Linked DNA regions of Diceros bicornis minor. The main gene of each other region encodes a partner of the protein of the gene in region 2 in a complex. Links are inferred from orthologs where the notes say so. Each region holds a gene or a part of one and is shown on either strand. Other genes may lie near its edges. The genes, in order: BRAT1, INTS11, INTS4 and INTS9.

Region 1 (7,853 bases), on a different chromosome or scaffold from region 2:
ACAGTAAACGCCCAACAAATGCTCTTCTTACCTTGTTCTAGAAACTGTGAGCCCTGTTACAAGTGCTGGCTCTTCAATCACTGGCGACCCGCCCAGGCTCCATTTCACCCCTGTGGCTCTGTCAGCGGGGCCTGCAGCCTGTGTACAGCCGCGGCACAGGGAGCCCCCGGCACATGGCAAGTGCTCTGGGAAGTTCACAGGCAAGTCCAGAGGCAGCACCATTCCAAGCAACGGGGGGGACTGCACAGTGCCTACCCTCAAGAGACTCCTGTCTGGTTTAGAAGAGATCCCAGCGCAGCAGAGAAAGCACCAGGGAGCCTGGGCCAGGGCTGAGTCTCCTATATGCCGGGAGAGCTTTGCCCCAGTTCTCTCACGAGACTGAAGGCCAAGGCACTGGGGCTAGCTTCTTTCTGTGTCCTCAGAGCCTGACATGTGTAAGGGGCTTAACAAATGCTTATGTGTGTAAGAACGTTTACAGCAGCATTGTTTCTAACAGCAAAAAAGTGAAACAAAGGGGTAAATGCGGGGAAATGGGTCAGTGAAATAGGGGTACCCCCAGGTTAGTTTTTAAAATCATGTTCTTGAAAATGTGTGGATATGGGAAAATGCTAACAACAAATTAAATGGCAAAGGTTACTAAAACTAAACAATATAAATATGATCTCAACCTTTTAAAGTGTATGGAAAAAAGATGCATTGAAAAAAAGATTGGAAGGAAATACATTAAACATTAACTGTGGTTTTCTGTAGGCAGTTAGATTATGGATAATTAAGTTTCCAAATTTTCTTTAATGGGGATGGATTATTTTTACAATCACAACATAAGAAGTCACTTTTTAAAGATGAAGGAGCAGTAACTGAGGCCCGTGGAGATGGCAGGCCTCCCAGGTGAGCAACACTCCGGGCCTTGAGGAACAAGCAGGAAACTTCATCTGCTCCTAGAGAACAGCAGCACGAGCCCCTACTCTGGGTGAACTGTGCAAGCCCTGCTCAGCACTGCGCCCTCAGTGAGAAGGAAGCAAAGTCCCCTCAGTCTGCAACCCTCCAACGGCTTCCTACTGTGCCCTGAATAAATTCAAACTCCTTGCATGGCCTGCAAGGCTCTCCATGGTCAGGCCCATGCCCATGTTCCATCCACGCCCCCTGCCCCTAATGAGATCCCAGCAAGCTCTCTCTGGGGCCCTGGAACACACTGCAGTTTCTCACCTCAGGGCCTTTGCACTTGCTGGTCTCTCTGCTCTCCAATTTTTACCAGACTGCCTGCTTCTTGTAAAAGAGATCAAGGCACGTGTGAGCTCCTCAGAGCTGCTGTTCCTGGCACCCAATGTAAGGCAGCCCTCCCCAGCCCACCTCCCTCACATGGGCCTGTTTTATTTTCTCCATAGCACTTTTCTGACATCTTAATGATCTGCTTATCGCCTTGTTCTCCCCTCGCTCCACGGGAACGCGGCTTATGCATCCACATTGGTATCTCCAGTAGACAGTGCACCCAAAGCACTTGGTAAAGGAACGAGCTGAGAGCCCGCTCGGCCTGACCGGAGGGTTACAGTAACCTTAGGGTTACTTGGGGCACCTCCTCCGGGAAACTTTCTCTGATCACTGCCGGGCACAGCCCTGTTCCCGGAGCCTGGGGCTTCCTCCCTCACTCTTGGGATGGCTCGGGCCGGTCGCCCCGTCCGTTGCCCCCGGCCTCGACTCGGGGTCGTCCCCGGCCCTGGAGGCACGGGGTGGGCGGGCACTTACGCAGTAAGCTCCGTCACCCCGCGGGCCACGGTCGCAGGCCCGGCCTCTCAGGCGCCGAGGCGAGGGCGCAGCGTCCGGGAGGGCTTCCTGGAAGCGGCGGCCTGTGCAACGGCGGGCGAGACCTAGAGGCAGCTGGAGGCTGGCCGAGGGGCGGCGACGCCCGGCCGGCCGCACGCTGGCGGGGGCCCGAGGTCCGCTCTTATGCGGTAACAATATTGGCAGCTGTCACCCGGCGGCCGCCGGCCCTGCGCCCCTTCCTCCGGCCCGCAGACCCGGCGAGCCGGAGGGAGCGACGAGGCCCGCCCGCCCGCGCTTACCGTCTCCGATGCCGACTCCCCGGCGCCCAGCGACATGGCGGTGGCGCTGCCCGGCCGCCCCTCGGCGCCGCGGGCGAGGCTGTCGAGCTCCGGGGCTCCGCAGGCCTCCCGGCCGCCCGCCGCCTCCGGGAATGCCCGCGCGCCGGCCGCGACCCCGCTGCCATAGCAACCGCGCCGGCCCCCACCCCCCACCCCGAGCCCCGGATGTGGCGGACGCCCGGTGAGCCGGGCCGACCTTGCGCCTGTGCTGCGACACCCGCGGGCCGACCGGCAGCGCGCCCGGAGGTGCGGGAGGAGCTGAAACAGCGCAGCAGCCGCGGAGTGGGCCGCGCTCAACCGTTTACAGAGGGCGTCCAGGCCCTTCTCTCGTACACACTCCACGACGAGCCTGTGAGCTAGTCACCAGAGCAGGACGTTAATAAGTATTTATTAGGTTAACGTTGAAAGGGACAAGGGGCTTGTACAGTGTCACAGGCTGCTAGTACTGGACGCCTGGCATTCAGAAAATTATCCTCCCTGATCTCTATCCTAGGTTTTAGGGCTCGGATCTAACAACGGGACAGCAAAAAATAATGAGTGCCCGGCACTCAGTGCATGTCATGAAGATCTTCAGGCGCCCTGGGCTTCAAAGTTCATTTAAATTATTGCTCTTTCTCCTCATACAGGTCTCCAAGGGCATCTACTCTGTCCCCTAACCCTGCTTCATTTTTCCAGCCACCTGACATTTATTATCTATGAGAACATTCCATGTCTAGAATGTAAGCTCCCTGGGGCGGGGGCTTTGTTTTGTCCACGGCTGTACCTCTGTCCCTGGCACACAGCAGGTGCTCAGTCAATAGCTGTTGGGTATCTAGCGAGTCATGCAACTTCTCTGTGCCTGTTTCCTCAGATATAAAGTGGAGAAACGGGTTATTGTGAGGATCAAGTGAGTCAATATCTGTAAAGTGCTTAGTACAGTCGCCCCTTCCAGAGTGAGTGTAATGTGACAGTGTTATTATTACTACATGGTGACTGAATGAATGAGTCCTCTCATCCATGTAGCCTGGTGTAGTAGAAGGAATGCCTAGCAGGTTATTAGTGTTCTAGTTCCACCTCCAACACCTAGTACGGGGTCCATGGCCCTCTTTCCATCAGGTTCCTCATCAGTACAAAATGGGCTGAGGTGCCCAGGGGTGGTCTCCCAGGCTGTCTCCCTACGAGCAGGGAAAACTGAGCTGGTTAGTGGTCAGGAGCCCAGCTTTTACAGTCTGGCCACCAGGGTGGTTTATAAAAGGCAAATCTTACCAGGCCACTCGTCTGCTTAACAACTTCCATTTGCTTCCTCGGGGTATTGTCCACACCGCAGATGAGGGCTTTCAATACCACAACTACCTAAGCACTGGTACCTCCTGCTCCTCTCCCGCTCCTGGTGCCCCGAAAACTCTCTGCCCTTCCTGCTTCTGTTGTTTCACTTGCTTTCATTTAACTGTAGAGACATTACATGTCCACAACCTTGTATCTATCTGCTGTTCTGAATTCTGAAAACCTTTCAAAACTCACTGGCAAAACCTGTTCTGACCTCAACTCATCGGTTGACAAAAATCTGAGCTAAAGTTATTTACAGTGTTTATATTATACATTCCACTTGGAGAGTATATTTCACTGCAGAACTGTTAATGCATTTGAATGTGGCGTGCATCAGCCCCTGCTAGAATTGTAATCCCATATAGAGCATGTATGTACCGTGTAACTTTTCTAAAATCTGAACAATTCTGAACCACTCATCCCCAAAAGTTTCAGGTAAGAAATTGTGGACCTGTATAATAAAATATTCAACTGTGGAGCCAGACTGCCTGGGTTCCGTTCCAAGCTGTGCCAGCCCACTAGCTGTGAGACCTTAGGAGTCTGCCTCTCTGCACCTCAATTTCCTCATCTGAAAGGATGGTAACAGAACCCACCTTCATAGAGCTGCTGCAGAATCACCTGAGTTTATATTAAGTGAAGCACTTAGCACAATGCTACTGTAAGATGTTTTCCCCCACAACTGCCCAATCAGGCAAATATTAGTATCCCCATTTTCACAAGGAGGAATCACAATTCAGGGAAGACAACTGTGCAGTTCAAACCTTTTCACCCAAATAGTTCTAAGGGGTGTGTGTTTGTGTGTCTGTGTGTGTGTGTGTATAAGGGAGGCTGGTTGTCCCAAGTAGTTCCCCCATCAAAGTCTATATTTTTAAAGTTTCCTTTTTATTTTAACACCCATAGGAATCCTCCTTTCCACGTCCTCATATATATGTGGTGTTTCCCCCAATCTTGCTGAAAAACTGACGGTATAGGAAGAGGAGCCTTGTTTTTATCCACTGGTTTTGAGAACCTCCAGCACACAGCCGAAAGCCCCCGAGAACCCAGTTTTTAGGCCAAAGGACAGGAGTTTAGCACAAGCGATGAAGACGCCTCGTTGCAGCACGCGCTTCCCACCCGCCCTGACATGTGATCCCTGGCGGCGGGGCGACGCCCCTTCCGGGAATAGCCCCACCCCGTCCTCCGGAAGCCCCGCCTTCCGGGCGCAATGTGCGCCGGACGCTTGGGCACGTACCACTGAGCGACCCAGTGGGGGTGATGGCTTGGGGCGACCGATTTGGCCCCGGCCTGTCCCCAATGCCTCTCAGTTTGAGCTCGTTCCCCAAGTCTTGGCACTCTGGGCTCTCAGAGTGGCCGCTAGGGGAGCTTTCACCTTTCCCCAAGCCATCCCCGTCCTCTCCCCCTCCGGACCCGGAGGTGGCGCGGTCGGGGCGGGGCCTCGGCGGCGGCGGGGGCGGGGCCTCGGCGACGGACGGGCGCGGAGTGGGTGAGGAGCGTGCTGGGTAGGGTCGCGGTCGCTGTGGCTGACCCCGTGCAGTCGGGGCTTGGGACCTAGGACGGGCGGGGTCGGGAAGCATCCCGGGGCCGGCTCGCATGGGCTGGGTCCTGGCCCGACTGCGGCCGCCGGCCCGCGCCCCGTCTGGACCCTCCGGGCGGCCCCGATCCGCGGCGGGGTTCACAGGGAGGGCTCCTTCCGCAGAGACCTAGCCTCGCCCAGGATGGACAGACGGATGCCCTAGGCCAGGCACACCCACTCCTGACCCCGACAGACAGAGTCACCGCCCCCCCGCGAGAACCCTCCCTGACCACCGGACCGACGGACTTCCCTGTCCCCTCCCAGGCTGGACACGCTGGTGCACACCCCGGCCCGGGAGGGACCGATGGTGGACAGAGCGCCTTCCCCTCCGCGCACACTGCTAGCTGCAGAGTTGTCAGATGCAGACACACTGACCCCAGGAGGGACAGAACAGACAGACACTTCCACCCTGGACTGAGACGCTCTTCCTCTGTGCGCGTGTCTGGCCCCAGAACGTGCACACACCCCTGACTCTGGCCCCGCAGCCTAGGTGAGCATCATGCTGTTCCCCTCCCACCAGAGTTCAAGGTTGGCAGACTTTAAGTTCCTGAGGCCTGATGGTTTACACCAGACTTGTTTCCAACCAGGGTGGCCAGGACTTGGCCCTGCTTGCTCTTGACTGCCTCCAACCCCAACTTAGCTGAGGCTTTGCATCCATCCTGGCAGCTTGGAGTTTCCCTCTGAGGATTGTGATCTTCCAGCTGCCTGGCCCGAGGTGGAAGTTCTGGGGCCTGAGCAAGCGTGGGGGCTGCCTGTGACTAGGGCGGGTGGAGTCTGGCCCTGACGTTTCTTTTGTAGGGATCTCCGGCCTCATCATGGACCCGGAGTGCTCCCGGCTTCTCCCAGCTCTCTGTACTGTTCTGGCGGACCCTAGGCAGCCCGTGGCAGATGACACCTGTTTGGAGAAGCTGCTGGACTGGTTTAAGACGATAAGTGAAGCAGGTAAGGGTGAGGGTGCTCCTGTTGACTGTTTCCCCAGAGGCCAGAGGGTACACGGGGCTCTCTGTCCTAGGGAAGGGGCGTCCATCTGGTGTCCTTCCTTCACATCGGAAAGGTTCAGCCTGGCTAATTGGTGACACATCACACTGAAGCCTGAGGGAATGACCAGGAGAGTTTGAGGTTGAAGTTCTTAGCTGATTCCAGCCTGATTCAGGCCTCCCGTTGGTCAGTTCATGCTAGATGGCTGCAAAAGGCACGGACAAACTTATTTTGTTGTTCTCGTTGCTTTTTTTTGTTTAAGAAATCAGCTTTTCCTTCTGATTATGAAAGTAATACATAGTCTTTAAATAAAACTTGAACAACACAGAGGAGTAAAGAGGAAAATTAAACCACCATCAACATTTTTATTTCCTTCTGACCTTTTTCCCTAACATATCATAAAGCTGTATTTTTCTCATGAAAATGAGGTCACACCATAAATACACTTTGGTGTCTTGCTTTTGCTCTCTTACCATTCTAGTGGGTGTTTTCCCCATGGAACACGTTGATTTTATTGACTGTATGTCACTTGCTGTATGAATGGACCATAATTTATACAGTCACTCCACTATTGTGGGGTGTTTACATATGTTCCTAATGTTCTGTTATTATAAATGACGCCATAATGGCTTTCCTTGTACATAAGTCTTCTCATGTAAATGTTTGTTTTCTTGGCTGATAATTGCCTTAGGATAGATGCCATGTTGTTAATTTCTGCTGTTTGTTGTTTACTTTGGTTTACCCTATTCTCTTATTTGCTTTTGAGTTGAATATTTCAGTCTTTCTCTTTTTTCTAAAATATGCATTGACAGCTATACATTTCTTTGAAAGTGTTGCTTTAGCTACACCCTGCAAGTTTTACTGTGCAGTATTTTTATTGTAACTTAGTTCAGATATTTCATGCTTTTCATTATGATTTTTTTTTCACCCACAAATTATTTAAAAGGTTATCTTTTAGATTTACAGTATGGAGTTTTTTTCAGTCTTTTTATTATTGGTTTTTAATTTATTTCGTTGGAATTAGAAAACGTCTGTATTTTGATTCTTTTATATCTTGAGGCTTTTATTGCGGCATAGTACACAGACAAATTTTGCAAATGTTCTGTAGATTTTGCTATATGGTATTGTTTTTTGGTGTTTGTAGGCTCCTCAAGGGTGGCCTAGTTCGTAGTCAAATTTTAACAATTATTTTTGAACAGCTTTGTTTGCGATATAATTAACATACCATGGAACTGACCCACTTAAAGTGTATAATTCAATGGTTTTTAGTAAATTCGAAGGGTTGTGCAACCATCGCCACAATGTAATTTTGCAGCATTTTCATCCCCTCGAAAGAAGCCTGGTGCCCATTAGCAGTTAATCTCTGTTCCCTCCTCCCCCAGCGTGTACTCAGTTTTCCTCGGTGTTCTACGTGATGGAAGGAACGTGGTCTCTACACTAGTTCCTTAGTTCAAGTTTATGTTGTTCAAGCCTGCTGTGTTCTTGCTCATTAGTTTGCTTAATTGTTTCTGAGAGATGTGTGAAAATCTTACACTACGATTGTGGAGGCAACAATTTTTCTTTGAAATTCTGTATTTTTTTTTCTTCATATACTTTGAGTTTGGGTTAGGTGTGTGCAGGCTTAGACTCATGTCTTCTGGGATTTTCTCTTTGAACAGTGACTTTCTCCCTAAAGCACTGCTAACGCTCTTGGCTGTCAAGTCGGTTTTGTCTGATATCACTCTTGCTGCCGCAGCTTTTCTAAAATGAGAATTTGCCCACTACCCTCTCAGCCCGTTACTCTCGGCCTTTCTGTGTTGTCATACGTCATCGCGTCTTATAAACAGACTGTTGCCTGCCTTTGGTTCTTAATTTAATTTGAGCATCGCTTTCTTTTAACAGACCATTTAATCTCTTTC
Region 2 (7,397 bases):
AGTCCAACATGACGTTCTTGCCCGCAATGGAGACCAGGATGCAGCTTCGGCCCACATCCTGGCCGGCCCCTGCACAGGAGAGTGAGTTAAGAGGCGCTGCCTGCCCTTCTCCCTTCCCCCCGGCCCCTCCCCTGCTCCTGCAAGCAATGGCCCCAGCCCCAAGGCCAAGGCCCAGCCACCCGCCCCAGACCCCACGGGGCGCCCTGGGTCCCTGGCCCAGTAGAGCCCTCAGGAGACTGGGGAAATGGCCCCAGGGATGCAGTGTGGACGACGTGTGAGCCAAGAAGCATCACCACCTCCACATGCGGGCAGGCAAGGGACAAAGCGTCAAGGCCACCAAGCGAGCTCTAGTCCACATGCGCCTCTGCCACTACTGCCCAGGGTCAGGTAGAAGAAGCCCCTGACCTCTCAAGGTCACCGCCTTGACACTGAGTCGTGGGTGCTAGACTGTGGTCTCAGCACCAACAGAGGCAAGCCGGGGCTCTGTGGAAACTCACCATCCCTCCTGAAACCTCGGCTGGGGTCACATCTGGGCTGTGATGCCCCCTCTCCCAGGACCTGCCCCCAAGAGGGGTCAGGCGCCTCCTGGTGGTGCCACTGCAGAGGGACACCTGTGTGGCTTTAGCCCTCAGCCCAGGGGAAACATGGCCCCAGCTGTCCAGCGATGGCCAACTATGGTGGCCACAATGCAGACACCTCACCCCAGGGCACATGGGCGACACGAGCTCACCACCGTGCCCCTCACGGCGGCCCCCCAGCCCAGACCGTGACTTAAGTCCCATCCACATTCCTGACCTCCAAGCCCTGCCCAGATGCTCCAGGCAGTGAAACCTCCCCCTGGCAGGGCACATCCTGGCCACCTCATATGGCCATCGGTCACCTCCTCTGGAGTCTGGGGACCCAGAAGGAAAGGGACACGGTCTTGCAAGCCCTGATGACACCAAATCACCTGGTCTCCATCTTGAACCCTACCAGCCTCCCTCTGCCGGCCACCTGAACCTTCAGGTAGCACCACACACACCAGGGTGACCAGGCCACGGCCCAGAGTGGGACATGGGCTGGTCCTCGAGAAGCTTCAGTCACCTGTGAAAACAGCAGATGACACCAGCCAAGAGCTTCGCCTGCCTGCCTCAAGCAGCCCAGCCACAGGTGGCAGCCTCCAGGTCTCTGACAGGCCTGCTGCTGTGCCCACTAGGACGTGCCTCCCTGAGGGCAGGATCTCAGCTGTCTGCCACCTGCTGCACCTCCAGCCCAGGAGTCATGCCTGGCTCAGAGACCCTCCAAACATTTGTGAGAGGGGAAGGGCCACTCCTCTTTACAGATGACGTGGAGCCACAGAAGACACAGGATTGACCCACGGGCACATGGCTCCTAAGCATGGGGCCAGAGACCGCGTTCTAGATTTCAGAGCCCAGCTCTTAGGCGCTGGCTGCCTGGTCCCAACAGCACCCACAACAATCCCAGGGAGCAGAGAGAGTGGCTGAACTGGGCAAAAGACGTGGGGGACAGAGTCGAGGGCACACAAGAGGGGGACAGGACTCAGGAGAAGACAAGGGAGACACTCTGTCTGCGGGGAGCTGACGATCCAGGGCAAGGAGACAAACGACAACCACGTAGGTAGGACACACGCTGAGGGCGTCAGGTGGAGATCAGCACCATGGAGAAAAGTAACGCAGGAAAGGGGACACAGAAACTTCCAAAACCACGACAGGCAACTCCTCCCTGAGAAGACAACTTGCGAGCAGAGTGGAGAGAGACAGCCAAGATGGGAGGAGCAGCTGTGCAAAGGCCCCGGGAGTGACCCGGCAAGACTCTCCAAATCTGGCCCAGGTGACCAGGGAGCCCTCAAGGCAGAAACTGGTGAAGGGAGAGAGTGGAGCAGAAGTGTTTCTGCTTTGATGGCGCTGTGGCTGAGCGACCTTTGGGGTGCACCTAAATGCAGATTTGGGGTAAGAGAACAGTAAGACAATAGGACTGTTTAAGGACAGTGAGTGGCGAGAAGAGGGGCCACATGGGAAAGGGGCTGGTAGGAGGGTCCCACAGAAGCCCCTGGAGAGAAGCCAGGGGCAGGAGAGGGCACGGGGCGGTGGTGACCCCGTACCAACAGCTAGGAGAGGCCATGGGGGTGATGATGCGTATAGCAGCATGGAACGTGCAATCTGACGCAGCAGGCCAGGGGCAGGGGCATTCATCACGGTTGTCAACAGCTCAATATCCACACGAAGGGCAGGGTGGGCTATTCCAGGGAAGACCTCACACCCTGAGAAAGCACGTGGAACCGTGTGGGACATCTGTACAGGAAGATGCTGGCAACACAGGGCCCAGTGAAGGAAGCAGGCTCCCAACCAGTGCATGCCATGCATGCACCAACAACGCCCAGAGACGCCGGGAGGGCTGGCGACCTACACGATCACCCTAGTTGTTACTAGGACCCTGGATTCTGAGTGGTCTTTCCTCCTTTGTACTGTCTTGTACTGCTCGGGCTTTTAAAAGTGCGCATCTATACCTTTTACAAAAAGCAAAACAATTTTTTTAACGTGGCAAAAATCAAGTAAAACAAGGACTGAACCGAGGGTGGGTCTCCAGACTGCGCACGTGGGAGGCTGCAGGTGACCGGGCGGGGACGGACAGAGCGGGTGGCAGGAGAGCGAGCGGTGAGGGCAGAGGCGCCAAGGGGCCTGGCGCGCCAGCCGCGCGCGAAGTAAGCCGAGCGCGGGCGCGGCGAGGACGGAGACCCTGTGCCTCCACGGCACGCCGTCCAGGGGCCAGGCCCGGGGAGGGCTGCTCGGGCGATCCCGTCCTCCCTTCACGGCCGGGAAGCGGGCCGGCCCGGCCCGACCCCGAGCCCACCCGGCGCGCTCCCCGGCCCCTCCACCGGCCGGCCCCCGCCCGCCCCGCGCCCCACTCACCCAGGGGTGTGACCCTGATGTCGGGCATCCTGCCGTCCGCGCCCCCGGCCCCTCGCCTCTGCGTTCCCAGTCAACCCCACGAACCCAGCCGCCGAGCGCGACCCGCGACGACGCACTGCTCAGGCGCAGCCCCGAGGCGCTGGCTTCCGGTGTGCCCGCCGGAAACACGGGCCCGCGCTCCGGGCCTCCTGATTGGGCGGCCGGCAACCAATCCCGGGAGGCGGCGCGGAGGCCGGGGGCGGGGCGCTGGGTTCCCTGGCGGCGGCGGCGGCGGACGTGAGCGGCGGCGGCGGCGGCGGCGGACGTGAGCGGCGGCGGCGGCGGCGGCGGACGTGAGCGGCGGCGGCGGCGGCGGCGGACGTGGGCGGCGGCGCACGTGAGCGGCGGCGGCGGCGGGGGAACCGAGCTCAACCGAACCGGCTGGGCGGGCCTGGGCATGTCCGAGGAGCTAGGCGCGGGACCCCGGGGCGGGAGGGGGCGGCCGAGGACCTGGCTCCCGCGCTGACCCGGACCCCGGGCCCCTGCCCGGTCCCCGGGCCTCCAGCTGGAGCAGGACCCGCTCAGGACCGGGGACCTGCCCGGTGCCGCTTGGAGCCCCCTTCCCGGAAGAGACTTGAAGGACTTCCTGGGCAGGGCTCCGTTCCCACCCCCTAATTCTGGGGTGCCGGGGTGGGTGTCCCCTTCTCTTGGGGGTGTCCAGTCTGCTGGCAGCACAGGGTTCGGATGCTCAGGCCACCCTCGCGCCGAGCCCTGACCTTGGGGCCGTGAATTAGCCCCTGGGAGAGGCTCGGCGGTGCCCTGCATCCTCACCTTCCCAGAGCTGGCCAGCTGCCAGTGCCCAGCCGCATGGTCACTGCCCTTCCTGTTGTTTCCAAGCTCTGAAAGGCCCCTGGCAGCCCCTGTTGGCTGCTGGCTCTGCGCAGGAACTCCAAGCCCACAGGATGTCTGGCGGCTAGGAAGGTAGCCCTGAGGGCCTCAGAGACCATCTGCTTGGTGGACGCAGAACCGAGGCCCAGAGCAAGGGGAGGGGTGTGCCAGAAGTGTCCATAGCACCATCTTCCTGAGGCCGGGCACAGCCGACTCACGTACCTGAAGACAGGGTGAGCTTGCTCTGGGGTCTCCGCCTGATGCCAGACATGCAGCCCAGCCTGTGGGGCCTGCAGGGCCTCAGCACCTGCCAGGCCCCACCAGACACTCCCAGCAGCCTGAGCGGTGGGCAGGACAGGGTGTGCTGGCCCATTTTCCCCAGAGATGAAGGACCAGGTGTCAGGATGGCGAGTGACCTACCCGCAGAGCAGAAGGCAGAAGCTGCCCAGGTACCAGGTGTCCTGCTCTTGGCTGGGGCTCTCGTCACAGCTTGGGCGGCCTCCCTCCCTTGCCAGGTGTCCCACAGGGCTCCAGGCACCAAGGGCACAGGAGCACCCGGGCCCAGTGGGGTGAGAGCTCATCCTGGACGCCAGGTCCCCTGGGCCCGTCGCGTGCTGGCCCTGGGAGCTCAGGGAGGCAGGGGCTGGGGTGCCCAATGGCACCCACTGAACACAGCGCTTGGATGTTTGTGGAGTGAGTGTATGAATGTGAGCAGAATTCAGAGCAGGACTCTAGCCTGTGGCACTTCCGGAAGGTTCTCTGGGGCTAAGGGAGGACCTTGTGGATGTTTTCAGAGTGTGGAAAGATCTTTGGTCCATCCGCCCTTCTGTGTGGGACATGTACGGTTTCAGTAAGAGTGAAAAGACTGGTGTCTGTCCATCCATCCAGCAAATGCTGACCTTGCAGCCTCTGCTCTGGCTTTCAGGATGCAGCAGTGAGCAAGGAATGGTGTGGCCCGCCCCACCACCCTCCCCGGCCCTCCCACCTCACTCCACTGTCTTTTTTTCCATTGTGTTTACCTTCTGTTACCTACCCTGCTGGAATTTCCTGTCTTTGTTATTGTCTCACACCCACCACACTAGAATGTCACCCTGACAAGACAGGGCTGTTTGTCTCACTCATGGTGCACCTGAGTACCTGGAAGAGGGCCTGGCTCTAGGCAGGGACCAAGCAAATATGTTCCAGCTAGTAAAAACAGACACACTCTAGTGAGAGAGACAAACGATAAACAAATAAGCAAGAAACCGTGAGTTGGGATGCTACAAGCAAGATGCAACAGAGTGGTGTGGCAAAGCCTGCCTGACAAGGAGAGGCCTTGCTAAGCTGTCTAGGCACGTGTTCCGGGCAAAGGGTCTGTGGAGTCAGGTTGGTGTGTCTGAGACCGTGTGGCCCAAGGAAGATGAGCTCCTGGGGAGGAGGGGCTGACCTGGGGATGGGGCTTCCTGTGGGGAGCAAGAGGATCCCAGCTGGTTCTTTCCACCGGACCTGCTTCCACCCTCAAGATAACAATCTGAGGAGTGAGATGACTCAGTGAGAAAGCCCCTCATCCTGGCTCCCCTTGTGTTTCAGTTCGTATTGAAAAATGGACGACTTGGAGTCGGACTTCAATCTGAAAGTTGTCTTGGTGAGTTTCAAGCAGTGTCTCGACGAGAAGGAAGAGGTGCTGCTGGACCACTACCTCGCAGGCTGGAGGGGGCTGGTCAGGTGCGTGCAAGGGGCCACTGCCCTGCAGGGCCAGCCCAAAGGCGGGGCTTTCCTGGCCACACTTCCCATGTGCGAGACCTGCAGTCTGCACGGCACGTGGATGCACCAGGCTCCTGCCTGCCCAGGGCCGGTCAGCTGTTCTCACTTGCTGCCTCTGCCTCCAGGTGGACATGTGCCCCAGGAGGCAGGAGGTGGTCTTCCCTGCACCCCAGGCTAAGCTCCTGCTTCCCTTCTTGCAGGTTCCTGAACAGTCTGGGCACCATCTTCTCGTTTGTCTCCAAGGACGTGGTGACGAAGCTGCAGATCATGGAGCGCCTGTGCAGCAGCCCCCAGCGGGAGCACTACAGAAGCCTGCAGTCCATGGTGGCCTATGAGGTGGGCAACCAGCTGGTGGACCTGGAGCGGCGCTCGCACCACGCCGACTCAGGCTGCCGGACGGTGCTCCGGCTGCACCGCGCCCTGCGCTGGCTGCAGCTCTTCCTGGAAGGTCTGCGCACCAGCCCCGAGGACGCGCGCACTGCCACGCTCTGCACTGACTCCTACAATGCCTCGCTGGCTGCCTACCACCCCTGGATCATCCGCCGGGCTGTCACTGTGGCTTTCTGCACGCTTCCCACACGCAAGGTCTTCCTGGAGGCCATGAACGTGGGGTCCCCCGAGCAGGCTGTGGAGATGCTAGGGGAGGCCCTGCCCTTCATTGAGCATGTCTACAACATCTGCCAGAAGCTCTACGCCGAGCACGCTCTGCTGGACCTGCCCTAGGGCCGGCGGGCCCAGCAGGGCAGGCTTCCCCTCCTCCAGAGCTGGGCTGGGGCAACCAGGGCCCGTGAGTCCCACCACGGACCTTTCTGGGTGCCCCAAGAACGGGAAGACCACTGTCCGCACGAGCCAAGCCTGTTGGGAGCCACGGACCAAGTGTGGCCTGTTCTGGTCAGAGGAGGCAGGCGCTGGCCGTCTGCTCCACGCCCGTCCTCTTGCTCTGCCCAATGGCATCTTAGCTTTACCCTCTGCCAGGTGACATGAGTGTCTAACAGGCCTCACCTGGTGCGTGAAGTGCAGAGAGCAGGATCAGTGTGTGTGCAAAGGCCAGAGAAGCTGCCCCCACCTGTGAGTCAAGTCTGTGAGATGGGGTGAGGTCACAGGTCCCTGGAGTACACAGACTCTGTCCTGGTCGCCAGCCGACGACGCTGGTGCATGTCCTTCCCAGGCCCGGGATGTGGTGTCTGTGCCTAGGTGGGCTGCCTCAGGCCCCTCCACACCAGGCTGGCTGTCCCCAGGGCAGGGAGAGAATCCCTGGGCAGCAGTTGGCACTGCAGGCTCCCTCCCTACCCCTCACCTACTTGTTACTAGGGGCACATGTGTCCTCGGCAGTGACAGTGGGAGCTGAGGCCCTGAGTCAAGGCCTCCCTGCCTTTGTAGCCCTCTACACACGTCAGCTGTCCTCTGCAGCCACGCTGTGGCCCCGAGCTCCTCCAGGCATCTGCCTGTGAGTCTGCACCGCATAGGCCCGAAGCCCCCGGGAGCCCATGACTCCACTGGGCCAATGCCGACCTCTCCCCCTCCCAGCGTCCAGCTAGGTACTGTGTTCCCCTTCCTGCCCCCTCCCCACAGAGCTCAGGAGACCCAGGATGACATGGCACAGGGAGGGGGCCTGGACTCTTTTGCCTAGCTGAGAGGCTGGTGGACAGCCACACCCAGCCCGGCCATCACTCAGCATTCAGGGGCTGGCCTCTACCTTTGGCTCTTCACTCTGAGCCCAGGACCTTGGGTGCCACGGAGACAGTGCCCACCGGGCAGCAGTTGTGCTTGAGTGCAAGCTTTCAGGGACCCTTGGGACCTGTACCACTGGCGATGGCTTTTCCAGCGTAAATAAATCACAAGTACAGAGCCAGGGGCTGTGCTTCAGGACGCAGACTG
Region 3 (6,995 bases), on a different chromosome or scaffold from region 2:
ACACATAATGGGTGCCAAAAAGTTCATGTAAAAGGGTACCTGTCACTCCAGGGCTTCAGTCAGGCCCTGATGGGGTATAAAAATCATAACATAAGATAAATGTAATCAATAATTTTCCTTAACACTTGATGCACCATTTTGATATCCTGAACAACCACCTCTTTACAAATTTATACTTCTACAGAGAAGAAATTAGGATTATTCTAGACAGGAATAAATAGTATGGCATGATAAAAAAGACTAAGGGCTTTGAAGTCAGAGGAACTGGGGTTCAATAACCACTTACTAGCTAGGGGAGGCTTTTATAAAAGGGAATACAATACCTATATCACAGGGATATTGGAAAAGTATAATGTCTTTACTGTACAAGACATAATAAGCACTAGATACATATCAGTTCTCTCTCCCTCATCTTCATAGCACAGGAAAGAGAAAAGAAGCACTAAGAACTCATTTCATCACTCTATGGTAACCATTCATGCAGAATGAAGTGAAGAAATGAGCTCTTCTCTTAAAATCCTTACCCATTTCCATCCTATTCCACACAAATTCAGTCTTCAGTGTTATCTGGGCTGCAAGTAGCTCAAAAGCTAGGGAAGATTTTTTTTCCCTAGAGAGTGTAAGGAGGAGGACAAACGGATACCTGCCATCATTGAATCATCAATAACATTTTAGTGAGCCAGGCCCTATGGTCTATCCAGGGGACACAGAGATGAACCAGGCATTATCTCTGCCCTCAAGGAGCTCAGACCCGTGGTGAGATACATACACTGGTAATTATAGTAGCACTGAGGGATAAGTACAAATAGATGAGTACCACAGAGTGCTACAGAAGCAGGGGAGGAAGACACTGAACTCCCACCAAGATTTCAGTTGGATCTTGAAGCAAAAATATAAGTCCACTGGGTGGAGAACAAAAAGAAAGGGAAGAATGACATCCATTCTATGTAAAAGAGACAAAAGATACAAAAGTTTGGAGAGGTGCAAACACGTGGCATGCTGGAGGAGGGGTGAGTAGTCTTAGGAAGTGGGAACCACAGACCGTTGGGAAGAAAGGAAGTGACGCTACACAACAATGTGAATGTATTTAATGCCCCTGAACTGTACATTTCAAAATGATTAAAATGGTAAATTTTATGTTATGCATATTTTACCACAAATTAAAAAAAAAAAAAAAAGTGGGCAAGGGAAACAGCCAGGAAATCTCAGAAAGCAAACCACAGAAGGGAGAACTCTGTGAAGTTAGAAAAGGTTTCCTCAATCTTGGCTCATTCTAAAAGCTCAGGAAAACTAATTTCACATAAAAAGGAGCAACAAAAAAGTATCATGGTTAAATCTCAATCAAAGTTAATTCAAGAAAAAACAAGAATAAGGAGCAGACTAACTTCCCTACAGACAATGGGAATATGCTACAAAGATGTGTCTACAAAACAAAAAAGAAAGTCATACAGCTGGAAGGAATACTGTCAAATCACAAAGGGCTAGGGAGTTTGTCTAGGGTGTTTTTAAGAAAAGGAACTGCAAGAGAGGAAGACTTGACCTGTCAATGCAATTATGTCTCTGTACTATAATGACAGATATGCTGTTCTGTCTCCCCCACTAGCCTGTGAGCTCCTAAGGGGCAGGGACCCTAATGCATATTGGACTTTGTAGCTCAACACCTTTCACCATACCTGATACACAGTAACCACTCATTTACTTAATAAACTCTCCTTGAAGGAATGAATGAAATGTTTAAGGACCAGTTTCCTGCTGGATGACCTAAGTTTTGCTATTCTACAAGGCTAAGGACCTACGGGTGGTCTATGGATCTAAGGAAGCTGCTGATCCACTGGCATCAATTGGGGGCTGGTCAGAAATAGATTATTGACTCATCTCCCCTGCCAGATTTACTGAGTAGAATCTACATTTTAACAAGATCCCCAGGTGATGTGTATACACATACAGTCTGAGAAGCTCGACAGAAGGGATGTCTTGGGAGCAACCTCTACTTTAGCAACATCTTTGAGGAGACACATGGAGAATCACTGCTCTGACAGGGGCTCCTCCCACCAGTCCTTAAACAACTCTAAAGGAGGAAGGTATTACCCTCCTTCCTCGGTGAGCTGTTCCACCAATGGAGAGTTCTACCCCTATGAAGCCTGTGATCCTCGACTGCTTTGACTGAGTCTTGAGGATTTCTATAGACTCCTCTTCCAATCCCTTAGAGCCTTACATACAGCCAACTTGTCCCTGAGCCCTTTTTCTGTAACGGGAGTTAGGAGGGGCTCTGCCACTAACTGGCTCTGTGTCCTCGTACCCCTCCAGAAGCCTCAAAATCCACATCTGTAAAATGAGGATGCTAATGTAATCTGAATAAAATGAGATAACGGATATTTTTCTAAATTGTAAAGTGCTATTTGTTTCTTCTAAGTTTAAAAAAAAAAAGTGTCAGGGCCAGCCCCGCGGCTTAGCGGTTGAGTACGCGCGCTCCGCTGCTGGCAGCCCGGGTTCGGATCCCAGGCGTGCAGCGACGCACCGCTTCTCCAGCCATGCTGAGGCCGAGTATCACATAAAGCACCTAGAAGGATCTGCAACTATGACATACAACAATCTACTGGGGCTTTGGGGGGGGGGAATAAATAAATAAAGTTTAAAAAAAAGTGTCAGACTGCACATATTAATAATAATGACAACAGTAGCGGCAAACGGACACGCCCACTAAAATGTAGTCTCAGAGAGCCTATCAAAATAGGCTGCACTCAACCCAGATTTGTGGCGTCTGTTCTGGCAAAATGCCTGTAGCGTGGATAACCTTCCCCTACCCCGGACCGATTCAGGACTTTTCCTTTTGGAGCTTACCTGAACTACCTTAGTGAATTCTTCGTACACCCGCTTCTTCAGGTGCGCCGCCATGGCTGCCCCGCGGACCCTCTCAGCTTCCGTACTCGACAAGGGAGGCGGGGCGGAGGAATCCGGAAATCCCGCCCAAGCCGAAGGAGCCCGCCACGGTCCCACAAGGCAGCGGGGCTCCGGGAAAGAGAGGCCGCTTCCTGCTGCTCGACTACCTTGGCAGTACGGCAGGATTTGGCCGCCTACGCCTCGCACACCGGGGGCACGAAAACTAGAGCGTAGCGCGGAGGGGGCGGGGCCTCTGTCGGGAGACGGGACTGACAGGGCAGATGAGCCAATGAGAGCTTCCGGGAGCTTGCTGGTGGCCTCAGAGTGGTTGAGAGACCGGCACGGAACAGAGCGAGGGGAGGGAGGAAATACGCAGTAAAGGCAAATTTTGGAGCTGCGTGAGGATCTTGTCTCTCGAGATAACAGAAAGAGGCCGAGCCGGCGTTTCCGTCATCCTTTGCTGTTCACAGCGTTTGCTGCTTGTAGCTTCCCTGAGCTCTCCTATTGAGCAAGCCATGCGCCATCCCTCTCCTGGTCTGGGGTGCTTTTCTCTGCTCGCTCGCTCCAGTTGTTCAAAAGCTACCCATTCCTTAAGCAATCAACCCCTCCTCTGATAGCCATGGTAGAGTGGAAAGAATCCTGAGGCCATGAGTCAAGCAGCAAAGCTTCAGACTACGACTGGCATTTAATGAACAAGCAGCCTCAACTACAAATGCGCTGATAACAGCTAACCCGACAAAGATGTAGTGACAATAGAATAAAATAATGCAGAAACATTTCGCAGACTGTAAAGTGTGGTTCACGGGTTAGTGTTAATAAATCCAAGGTCAAGTTTTACATCCTTCTTTAAACTTGAGCTGTTCATTGTTTTTTTCTTTCAAAAGAGTTAATGCGGGATGCTTTAAAAAAGCGGCAGGCTGTGGTACGTACAGAAGACCCAAAAACGAATAAAAGATGTCATTACCCTCAAGGTCCTACAGTCTAACTGGGAAGAGAGACACCCAAACTGATAATGAGAGAGCAACCAAAGTGTGCTGGATAACAGAGGAATGCGGTTCAAACAGACCTAACTTCTTCAGGATGCCTCAGGAAAGTTTTACAGAGGAAACGATTTTTAATCTGGCTTCAAAATAGTGAATTTTCCAGAAAGAAAAGAATCCCAAATCACAGAGTCTACGGCATATACAAATGTTCCAGTGAAATGAAAAGCACTTAGTAAACAGTAACTTAGCCATCAGCAAATGTTAGCAGCTATTATTGTTGTTATTACCATATTCTATCAAATCTAAGCTGCCAGCAATTGTAAAACAAACCATAATTTTATGTAATACATTTTTTAAATGCTGGAATTAAAAACAATGGTTTCTTACTACTTATATTTGTTATGTATACTTACCAAAAGAGCTCTTTTAAACTTATTTAGACATAGATTTGTGTCCTATGTCATAGTGGTGTGTTTCCATGCCTTTTTGTGCACATAAAAACTTTTCATTTCAATGCAAATTATAGGGTAATCTCTTTGAAGATACATCAAATGGCAATTAAAGACCATACATGCACAGAGCTCAGTTGAAGTGATAACAACATGCACTGCCATGACCCAGTCTACACATGAACTATTGGCCAAAAGCAATCTTAAGATGTATCCTGATTTCAGAGATGTTAAACATGCACCTAAGCTCTCTCACTCCAGTTGTTCAAAGTATTATCATCATTACTATTAGATACATGGCTGCAGGAAGGAGTCTGGTGCACTCAGAAAACCAAAGGAGGAGCTGGCCTGGTGGCACAGAGGTTAAGTACACGCACTTCGCTGCAGTGGCGGGGGGTTCGCAGGGTCAGATCGCTGGTGTGCACTGACGCGCTGCTAGTCAAGCCATGCTGTGGTGGCATCCCATATAAAATAGAAGAAGATGGGCACAGATGTTAGCCCAAGGCCAATAAAAAAGAGGAGGATTGGCATCGGATGTTAGCACAGGGCTGATCTTCCTCACCAGGGGAAAAAAAAAGAAAACCAAAGGAAATTCAGTTCCTATTGAGAGTAAAGTGCATACAGGCAACAGGGAGGAGCAATGGAAATAAAATTGAGAAGCTGAGGCCAGACTGGTACAGAAACAAGAGTATTCCGTTATTTAATTCTGAAATGAAAAACTGTCTTGATTGAATTGATGACATTTTCCTTTGACCTTCATTACTGCACATGAGAATACAAGGAGGTACCCCAGTGAATCCCTTAGGCTTCAAATAGGGTCTTCCCTGTCCCTATTGTATAACAGCAACCCAACTTCCCCTTGGAAATTGGGGTCAGTCACTCAGACTGGTATCGTAAGTCCTTCTCTGCCTGTTGGCTCAGCAAGAGCCCCAAATGACCAGGGGCAGGCTCGTTACATGTTCCAACGTAATGGAACAATAACTGTGTTTTTTAGTGGAACTGTTCCTCCCTTGGGGACTAAGTACTCCAAACCCACTGACCCTAAGAATTCATAAATGAGTTCTTAGGTGTAAAAGTGACAAGAACCACTCCTAACTCCACTCCTTAGTTCCCAGATCCATGTATTCTAACTGTGGGAGAAACAGTACTATATTTTAGCTGTTGGTATAAGGCATATATCACAAACATGTAAGACAGCACCCCATAGTCACAATGTGTTGTCTCTCAGCCAGTACCATAACTGTCTCCAAAAGGTCACTACACTGTTTTGGGGGCAGGCAGTGGCATAGTGGTTAATTTTGCATGCTCCACTTTGGCAGCCCGGGGTTCACGGGTTTGGATCCAGGGCACAGACCTACACACCGCTCATCAAGCCACACTGTGGTGGTGTCCCACATATGCAGTAGAGGAAGATTGGCATAGATGTTGCTTAGGGCCAATCTTCCTCAAAAAAAAAATCACTACACTATTTTTATCATAACAGCTATATCTAAGTGATGGCGTACCTAGCAAGACCAACAAGCTTCTTTGCTGTAATTCTTGTACCATAAAATAAGCTCTTTAGTCAGAAACAATGTATGAAATACCATAAAAATGAATAAGGTATCCATGAATGGTATTGCTGGCATAAACATTATGGTTAGGTGTATTAGTCAGGGTTCTCCAGGAAAATAGAACAAATAGGTCATATATAGATATTAGGGTACTATAATAGAATACCAGAGACTGAGTGACTTATAAACAACAGAAATTTATTTCTCACAGTTCTGGAGGCTGGGAAGTCCAAGATCAAGGCGCAGGCAGATTCAGTGTCTGGTGAGAGCTCACCTCCTGGTTCATAGACAGCTTCTCACTGTGTCCTCACATGGCAGAAGAAGCAAGAGAGCTCTCTGGGATCTCTGTTATAAGGACACTAATCCCATACATGAGGGCTCCACCCTCATGACCTAATCACCTCCCAAAGGCCCCACCTCCTAATACCATCACATTGAGGGTTAGGTTTTCAACATATGAATTGAGGGGGCCCACAAATATTCAGTCTAAGGCAGTAGGAAAGTCAAATCTGAGTCTGGAATATGTATCTATTCCTGTGAGGATAAATCACCACACCCTCACTGATGGAAAAGATCCAGTGTGTAGCAGAATGATTGCAAAAATGGCCCCAATTCTCCCCCTCTCTGTATGTATACCCCTTGAAATGTAGCTTTGAAGTTGCTTATATTAAGAGATGTAATCTGTATCACCACCCTTTGGATTGGGCTGGCCTTGTGCCTGGCCAGTAGAATGTAGCAGAAGTGATGGTGTGCTAGTTTTGAGCCTAGGCCTCAAGGTCCATCCACATACCAATTCCCCAGGCCTTTTGCTTGATTTTGGGACCCTATCATTGCCATGAGAATAAGTCCAACCTAGTCTGCTGAAGAGTGAGTGACCACATGGAACAAAGCCAAGTTGACCCAGCTGAGGACATCTTAGACCAGCCCCACCCCAGCTGATCCACCATCTGACTACAGATGCATGAGTAAGCCCAGCTAAGACCAGAAGAACTGCCCAATCTGTAAGCTTATGAGAAATAATTAATGTTTGTAGTCTTAAGGCATTAAGTTTGGGGATCAGGGGGTTGTCATGTAGTCAGACAGTCCCTCAGCTACTAAGTTGACTTGCCATACTTCCATAGATTCAGCTG
Region 4 (7,795 bases), on a different chromosome or scaffold from region 2:
TTGTAAATGTAAAAAAACAAAAAAAACGCTATCCTTACAGCCCAAGTCAAGGATTTGTAAAATGCTGCATTAGAATTATAATAACCATTGGAAAAACTTACTGTAACTTCAACCTTATTACCACTGTAAGCGTAAAACTATGCTAAAGCCAGGGCCTTCCAGTAACTAAATGCTCTTGGAAAGTGTCCAAGACAATGTTATGGTAAATATCCAACTTGTTTCATCTAAAATCAAGAAAAACAAGTTACCTGAAGCACTAGATTATGTTTAAGTAGACTCTAACTAAAAGTTTTACATCAAATAATCACTTGGAAAAATCTTTACTCTGTACTTATGATGGGCTCTAAGACCAGTAAGGGTCATCTGGGGAGATAGCCACACCTAGGAATCTAAGTCACATATTACTTAATACTACTTTGAGAAACATTTTAATCCCAATAGCTTCCATTTTGAAAGAAATAGATTTTGGCAGAATCTGTTAAAATAATGGTGTAAAATGTGCTGGTGGTTCTCTGGTTTCTAGCTTGAGCCACTGCTGAGAGTCTCCTGTTATTTGTGGTTCAGATTCCTTTTTTACAGGTTGCATGTCTGATAGATATTTACCAATTTCAGCTATAAACAAACATAAAGGCGCTTTATATATGTGAGTGCATACGTGAACGTACATACATGACACTCTAGACAAGCTGTGATTTCTACTTAAAACAACTTTTTTATAAATTGAAGTTCTACTAAATTGAGAAGTAAAAACCAACAGTTAAGAGAAAAACCTAGCCAAATAGCAAAGGGAGCTATAAAATTAACTCTGGAAGCCAAAAAACCTAAATAAAGCAGGTTCATAAAACAAACCCGACAGATTTTCACTCAGCACTTACAAGTTTATAAATGTTTACGTTTTTAAAAAGTTGAGTGGTACACCAACTTTAATTTATGAAAAATGACATCCTGTGATAAATTTCTAATTCCCAAGAGAAATAATTCAAGTTTAAAGATCTGAATACAAAAGTAATTGAAGGAAGAGCTGTAAAGAAATGAACAGAAAAAGTAAATGTGGTTTTACAGGAAACATGGAAGCTTTCTGAAACATTAAAAGTGGAATGGACTGAATATAACACACAAAAGACCCAAAATGAACAAATTAAGCATAAATATTCCTAATGTGTTCAACATCTACTGAAATAAGCAATTCCATTCCACTCCATACTTGCCACAAAAATTGCCATAAATTGGTTACTTCTATTTTTTTAAATGATGAAACAATGAGAGATTTGTTGCAATATATTTTATAACTTACCAATAGTGAGCTATTAAGTTTCTATTAGTGATGCTTCAACTAAGGATTTGCACTAAGATGACTGAAATCTGTTCGTACAGCAGTGAAATTGAAGCCTCACTAAAGACATTCAACATAAAGCTGACCCCTAAAGGCTCCTTGATGCACATTTGCAACCACAGTAGCCAGGATATGCAGTACACTAAACTAGCAACAGATTGGTTAAAAACTGTTTGGATTTTCAACTTCCCATAATACAGGCAGCATTTTTAGAAGCAACTGTATTAAAATAAATACGTCTTTCACAGTTACGGGATGAAATTTTAAGCTGGACAGGCACCAATGCCCTGATTTTCTACTTTTTTCGTAAACCATATGACTTCCACATGCTGAGAATGTTTTATGCTTTAACCTGCAGTAAAGGCTTTACATCATTTTAATGCTCAGTGCTTAACATGCAACAGAATCACCTTCAATGAATGCAAGGAATATATTTCGTTTACTTTAATGATTTCAACCAGACTAGTAGTCAGAAAAAGTTTAATGAAAGCTTTGCTCAGTAAGTAACTTTGCATTTCCATAGAAGAAAACAGACAAAAAATCTGAGGTAACGTTGAGTGGAACAGAAAATACTCTTATATTTTTCCAACTCAACAAAATTTTAGTTTTTTAATTTCTAAAATAAATATTGAACATTTTAAAACTCTATGTCTAACAGAATATCTTTCAGCAAAAAACAAAACAAAACACTGTTATATAGTTACATAGGATTTTTCTCCAGTTTTTGCAAAGTAATGTTTCAAGCTGACACAGAAGGTTAAAACAAACCTAGTCTATAACAAACTAAAGGCTCAGCTTTGTACCAACATATTCTATATTCTAAATTCGAGATTCAGACGACATCAATTTTTTTTTATTCAGGTCAATCTAAATATATACGCTACCTCATGCTTATAGTTAGCTTATCTGTGTGAATGAACCACAGAAATTTCAAATCAAAGGTTATAAAACATATCATAAAATTACACGCTGTATCTACATCACTTTCAGTTTTCATGAAACCTAAGGTCCTTTACTGATAGGTTCAAGAATTGATAAGTTTGGAGCAGAATATGTAAATACATTAAATTTTCAATAGTCAAACAAGAAATTATGCCAATTTCTCTAGTTATTTAAAAGTCCATTACACTAAAAACTGTCACAGAAGAAGGGTTACTGAAAAACGTTATTTCAGACTAAGGGAAGTACAAAACATGATCCTAAATTCTCCTGGTGTAATGTTATTAAATATTAAAGACTGTGAGAAACAAGAGATGTTGCAATCCTCTTCCCTTTATAACTCTAATTGAAACTTGAGAAAAAAAATCAGAATTCAGATTTTCCGAACTTGGTTTTATAAACATAATTCAACTAGATCTAACAACTTAGTTGTGTGATTTTAAAATAAGTTTAACGCAAAGCTCTGCAATCCTGATTCGTGATAATCACCTGAAACATAAATGCAAAATAAAAACAAATGCAAATCCTTTTCATCTGATGATGCATTTTATAGTAGAACCACAAAAAAGCACAACAATATTAGCAGAAACTAAACAAACATACACAAGAGGCATTATGTCCATCCAGGAAGAGAAATGTACCATGCCAAGAAAGAAAGGAAGGACTGAAGGAAGGAAGAAGGGAAGGAAGGAAGGAAGGGAGGGAGAGAAGGCAGAGGTTTCTATACTTGGAGGATCCCAGAAAAATAAACTAGCGACATCAATCTACCCTATAGGATACATAAGGTTTTTTACAGCTTCAGGGTAAATAAAAATAGCACTTTATGCCATTCAACTTTATATAGTATAGTATCTTTAATGCCAACTGCATTCTCCCCTACACTCACCCAGTGCTTCCTCACTCTTCCATACCAGCTTTCAGACAAATGCGAGACAGAACAGGGTGGGGTAGAAGAAAAATACAAGAAGCGCCTTTCAGCTACTCCCCCGCCCCAATAATTTCCAACCGTTTTTCCTACTACGAAAATAAGTCGCCCTATCTCAAGATACACAACAGTCATTCTGTCTCTAGTAGACACACAGAGACACACACACATGTCAGCACTCCCGACCCCTACCCCACGCCCCCGAATCTTAAGTAATGTTTAATATGTTTAACACGAGACGACGAGATACCTCTACCTACTATTTCGGGGTGAGGGTGGGTGGAGGACTCCTTTCAAAGTAGCCCCAATAGTGTAACCAAAACACGGTTCCGGAATAAAATATTAAGAACACTTTTCCTTTCCCACCTATCTACCGACTTAAGGATGCAAAAATCCATCTCCACACATCTCCTGCCCGGAGTTTGGGGCGGAGATCTGGCCGGGGAGGGGGCGGGGAGAAGTAGTGGGAGCGGGCAGCAGGACACAAACGAGTTGCTCACCCCAGCTACCCCGCACCACGTCGCCAGCCCGAAGGGCCAGCAGCCGGACCTCATGCACACTTCTCTGCCCAGGCCCAGTTAAAAGCTATGGCTCCAGCTATCTAACTTCCTATCTATAGACATTTATTCAAGACTAACATATCACACAAGTACACGTCACACAGTTTAGCACACAGTTATACACCCCAAACAAACCCACACACCTCAAATTCACCTCACAGTTTCCCAAACTCCAAACAGGAGACCCCCACCTCCAGGATTCAAACCTTGCGCCCATAGTGCAGGAAACCAGGAGAAAAGAGTTGGGGAGCAGCCGACGCCTTTCAATTACCGCCCCCCACAAACTACCCCACCCCATACCCTGCGTCCGTGTTACTCACTAGGAAGCCCCCCGCTTCCTCCCTTCTCTCAATCGGGCCGCTTAAGAGACCCATCCCCAGCCCACTTACTTTCCCCCCAAAACCTCTCCAAAAAAAAAAAAAAAGTGAAGAGAAAGAAGTGAGGAGAGAGACTTGAGGTAGTCCGGCTTCAAAACCGCTCGACTCACCTCAGAATCCTTGCTGAGTTCTCTCCGCCCGGCACAGCCCCCTCCCCAACGTCCCAGTACGAAGGGCTGAGGTAGGGAGGAGGGGAAAACGGGAGGGGGAGGGGTGTCTTCCGCGTGGGGCGCTCGTCGGGATGGGTCTGGGGAGGGGTTGAGGCCGGCGCAGGAAGAGGAGAAGGGGGAGGGGAGGCCCCTATCTCCCAGTCTACCCCTGAAAACCTCCCTTGTCTCAATCACATCAGACTGACTGTCTTTGTCTGGCTGACAACCGCCATATTGATAGCAACAGCCCCTCTCCCACCTGCTGCAGCCGGGCGGCCCTGGGAGTTGTAGTTCTGCCTCCCTTGAGTAAAAGGGCGAGACTTGGCGTCCAGAGGCCCCAGGGAACTACAGCTCCCGGCAAGTCCCGCGCCCATCCGCCTCCCCAAAGGGAGGAGGAGACAGGGGCGCCAGAGCCCTGGGAACTACACATCCCAGAATACCATGGGTCCCAGGCCCAGAAGAGGGACATGATATCACGCTAGGGTGGAGAGGGAAGATGAATTGGCGGCAGGGAAGAATTTGAGCTGACGGAAGGCGGTGTTCGGAGAGGAAAGAGAGGAAAAGGAAAGATGACCACAGGTCCCATGATGCTTGGAGAGATGACTACATTTCCCATGATGCCCCGGGAAGGGGGCGTAGGGAAGAAAGACTGCGTGTCCCGCGATGCTCTCGGTGGGCCGGTGGTAGAGATTGAACCGGAAGACGCTTTCTGGGTTTGAGGGAGTCGGGTGACTGGAGTTAAACAACCAAAAGTCCAATATGAAACTGGTGAGTTTTCGCATCTAGGTCACAGGGCAAAGGTGATGCCATATCCTTTTGGACTTCGTCGTTTCCACCTTGAGAAGGGTACCGTCGTGGAGGAGGGGTGGCAGTTAGGGAACTAGAAAGTGGGGTGGACTGAGGAAAGCTGCTGTTGGTTGTTGAGGCTTTTTGAATCCCACCTCACACTCCCCCGCACGCGATTGCCAGGAGATCTTATTCATCCCTTGGCGGGTCCCTTTGGTAGCTAAGAGGTTGACTATCACCTTTCTTCACCTAGGAACTAAGGTTGGACTTGAACTAAGTTTGACTTGTTTCTCAGCTGCCACGTGAGTGTTACAATAGGTTGTTAACTTCTGTCCACGCGATTGGCCCTTCATTATCGTTTCCCTCTACCGTTGTAGAGAAGGCTTAGGTTAAATGTGAGCAGAGTAGAAAATAATTTGGCAGAGCGTTATCACTTATTAAATTTTCTTCTTTAGACTCCTAACTGCCCTTGGAATTCAGAGGAGGTCAGGGTGTGATCTTGGAGAATTTGACCAACCCTGTATAAGATGGGCTGAGAGGAAGTGTTGAGGCATTCCAGTCTAGGGCTGTAGCGAGTGCATGAGCCAAGGTTAGATGGAGCATACCAGTATACCTAGAGAAGTCTTTTCATCTCAAAACTCAAACGCTTGACTTATAGGAAAGCTTCTCAGACCTTTATTTTGAGCCATTTTACTCTCGTGCACACAGATCTAACTAGTTTATTCCAACTCTATGGAATTAGTAATAGCATAATTAAGAGTAGAAAAGCAGGTGTGAAATGCTGGTTCTCAACCTTTTAAAAATCCATGTTCCTGTGGCCACGTATTGTCAAGCTTTACTTTCTGTACCTGTTTTTTTTTTTTTTGGTGGGGAAGATTGGCCCTGAGCTAACATCTGTGCCAATCTTCCTCTATTGTTTATATGTGGGATGCTGCCGCAGCATGGCTTGAGGAGCGGTGTGTAGGTCTGTCCAGGATCCAAACCCCCAAACCCTGGGCTGCTGAAATAGAGTGCGAGAACTTAACCACTATGCCCTGGGGCTGGCCCCATACTTTCTGTAATTTTTATACAAAAACAAAAGGTTTATTTTCTTAATTATTTGAACATGCTTTTCCAGAGCACACATAAATGCTACAGGCATATACTCTGCAAAGTGTCAGCTGTTTTCTGAGGAATCAGAGAATGTATTAAAAGTAGATTCAACTACAAAACTGTCTCCATTTAAAGACGTTTGTGTAAGGGAAAGGGTACAGATCAGTAAACCTTGAGAGTATCAGTTTGATTCTGGGTGGTTGTGTGAAACATTTAAGAATGCAGAATTGAAAGTCAACGCCCTTGCCCTAAAGAAGCATGCAGTCTACTGCAGAAGATAGAAAAGTAAGCCAGAATTATAATTCACTGTATTCATGGTAAATGAAAGGCATGTTCAGGATTTGGGGAATTGATGATGACTGGGGGGGTGGGGGGAGTCAGAGACAACTTCCTGGAAGGGTAACTGTTGAACTGATAAGAAGGATGAGTAGGCTAGGGCTGTTCATGAAGACAGTTCAGCTTATAAAAGCAAAAGAGCTTGGCTCCTAAATGGTTGGAACACAGACCATATGTCCTCAATAAAGGACATGGAAGGGAAAAAAGTAGAAACTTTTTTTTCCTTTAAGAACCAAAAGATACCTCAGAGAAAGAGAAAGTGTTCTATCTATACTCCCTCCCTCTTTACTTTCAAGCCACGTATTACATACTAAAACTCATTTGGTAGTTGATAGATGATCTATAATGTGGAATTTGTATCAACATAGCAAAGTGGTTTCAAAAACATTGACGCTCACTAAGTTAGACTTCTGTGTGTCGTGCCTCCCATAGAGTTGGAATAAATCCTCCCAGGGCCTAAAATTTTTAACTTTGTGTACTGCTTCAGGAATATGTACTAAGCCATATTTTACATTTATAATCGTGAAATGCAGAAATACATTTTTTTGAGCACTTTCTTGTTTTTGAGATTATGACTTCCAAAATACCCTTCCCATGTACAATCTATGACTACATCTTGTTGATTCTACTTCTGTTCTTGAATAGATCTGTTTCTCTCCTGTCCCACTAATACTGCCTTTGTATGGGCTCTTTTCACATGACACTTGGAATTCAACAAGATCGTCTAACTGGTCTCTCTGCATTCAGTGTTAACCCTCTCCAATCTATTCTCTACTCTGCATCTCAGAAGTTGTTTTAAATTGCAGAGTTTCATAAAACCCTCAGTAGCTTCCTTTGCCCTTAGGATAAAGTCTTACAATTCTTAACTTGGCTTACTTGGTTCTGTAGAATATGACCCTGCCTACCTCTCCAGGCTTGTGTCTAGCCCTCATCTTGCTTGGTCTCCTTGTTTCAATTATATTGCACGTCTTCCAGTACCTTGAACTCACCCTACTCTCGTTTGCCTCTAGGATTTTAAATATGTTCCATTGCCTACAACACTTTTTTGCCTGCCTAATTTCTTCATATATTTCAGATCTCTCTTTAAATAGCACTTCTTCGAAGTCTCCTTGAATTAGGTACCCCTGTTATATACTTCCATGGCACACTTCCGTTTTGTTACACTTGTGATTATTGGTTTTATGTCCGTCCTCCCTCATGTAAACTCTGTGTATTCCCAGGGCCTGACATATAGTGTGATGCCACTAAATAGTAGTTGAATAAATAATTTCTGAAGGATTATCAAAGTCTGTGAATAT

Evidence for each region.
Region 1: the proteins of INTS11 (region 2) and BRAT1 are in contact, whole or in part, in a cryo-EM structure (PDB 8UIB), measured with the Homo sapiens proteins. The link is inferred for Diceros bicornis minor from reciprocal best matches to the Homo sapiens genes INTS11 and BRAT1. Residues at the interface, in NP_060341.2 of Homo sapiens: Leu9, Val15, Gly16, Lys27, Met35, His36, Met37, Gly38, Phe39, Arg43, Asp47, Tyr50, Thr58, Asp59, Asp62, His70, Leu71, Asp72, His73, Asp87, Gly88, Gln97, Pro101, Ile102, Glu105, Arg108, Lys109, Val112, Asp113, Lys114; in NP_689956.2 of Homo sapiens: Asp25, Thr27, Cys28, Glu30, Lys31, Asp34, Pro117, Ser156, Ser157, Leu158, Phe159, Ser162, Lys358, Ser359, Cys366, Arg367, Arg424, Arg427, Thr465, Lys468, Lys469, Trp514, Glu515, Asp518, Ser519, Glu522, Tyr560, Ser564, Ser604, Glu605.
Region 3: the proteins of INTS11 (region 2) and INTS4 are in contact, whole or in part, in a cryo-EM structure (PDB 7BFP), measured with the Homo sapiens proteins. The link is inferred for Diceros bicornis minor from reciprocal best matches to the Homo sapiens genes INTS11 and INTS4. Residues at the interface, in NP_060341.2 of Homo sapiens: Pro183, Trp191, Lys194, Asp212, Gln288, Gln400, Gln404, Lys462, Met465, Ala466, Leu469; in NP_291025.3 of Homo sapiens: Leu159, Asp161, Thr162, Arg167, Tyr203, Gln207, Asp244, Ser292, Gly294, Trp296, Arg299, Lys323, Met326, Ser327, Asp328.
Region 4: the proteins of INTS11 (region 2) and INTS9 are in contact, whole or in part, in a cryo-EM structure (PDB 8RC4), measured with the Homo sapiens proteins. The link is inferred for Diceros bicornis minor from reciprocal best matches to the Homo sapiens genes INTS11 and INTS9. Residues at the interface, in NP_060341.2 of Homo sapiens: His94, Gln97, Ala98, His137, Leu138, His139, Gln140, Thr141, Lys274, His277, Tyr278, Lys280, Leu281, Phe282, Ile283, Pro284, Trp285, Arg291, Phe294, Ser449, Pro450, Ser451, Ile452, Pro453, Val454, Gly455, Ile456, Ser457, Leu458, Leu461; in NP_060720.2 of Homo sapiens: Glu127, Gly198, Tyr199, Ser200, Gln201, Lys202, Tyr231, Glu338, Phe339, Ile342, Phe343, Glu345, Gln352, Lys354, Val355, Tyr356, Leu357, Pro358, Glu359, Pro360, Pro361, Arg511, Arg512, Tyr513, Glu514, Lys515, Ile516, Glu517, Ile518, Met519.

Annotation. Positions count from the first base shown.
Region 1 is NC_080765.1:11,888,647-11,896,499, reverse strand, and holds the start of BRAT1 (BRCA1-associated ATM activator 1), read left to right. Parts: upstream 1-4,851; 5' UTR 4,852-4,887; exon of another isoform or gene 4,888-4,903; intron 4,904-4,928; exon of another isoform or gene 4,929-5,241; 5' UTR 5,242-5,467; intron 5,468-5,564; 5' UTR 5,565-5,792; coding exon 5,793-5,919; intron 5,920-7,853. UniProt on the Homo sapiens protein: Component of a multiprotein complex required for the assembly of the RNA endonuclease module of the integrator complex.
Region 2 is NC_080752.1:22,289,193-22,296,589, forward strand, and holds the start of INTS11 (integrator complex subunit 11), read right to left. Parts: upstream 3,017-7,397; 5' UTR 2,938-3,016; coding exon 2,910-2,937; intron 70-2,909; coding exon 1-69. Other genes in the region: CPTP (ceramide-1-phosphate transfer protein), read left to right, coding at 5,359-5,480, 5,720-6,242.
Region 3 is NC_080746.1:53,437,346-53,444,340, reverse strand, and holds the start of INTS4 (integrator complex subunit 4), read right to left. Parts: upstream 3,004-6,995; 5' UTR 2,896-3,003; coding exon 2,842-2,895; intron 1-2,841. UniProt on the Homo sapiens protein: Component of the integrator complex, a multiprotein complex that terminates RNA polymerase II (Pol II) transcription in the promoter-proximal region of genes.
Region 4 is NC_080750.1:64,983,695-64,991,489, forward strand, and holds the start of INTS9 (integrator complex subunit 9), read left to right. Parts: upstream 1-4,779; 5' UTR 4,780-5,042; coding exon 5,043-5,051; intron 5,052-7,795. UniProt on the Homo sapiens protein: Component of the integrator complex, a multiprotein complex that terminates RNA polymerase II (Pol II) transcription in the promoter-proximal region of genes.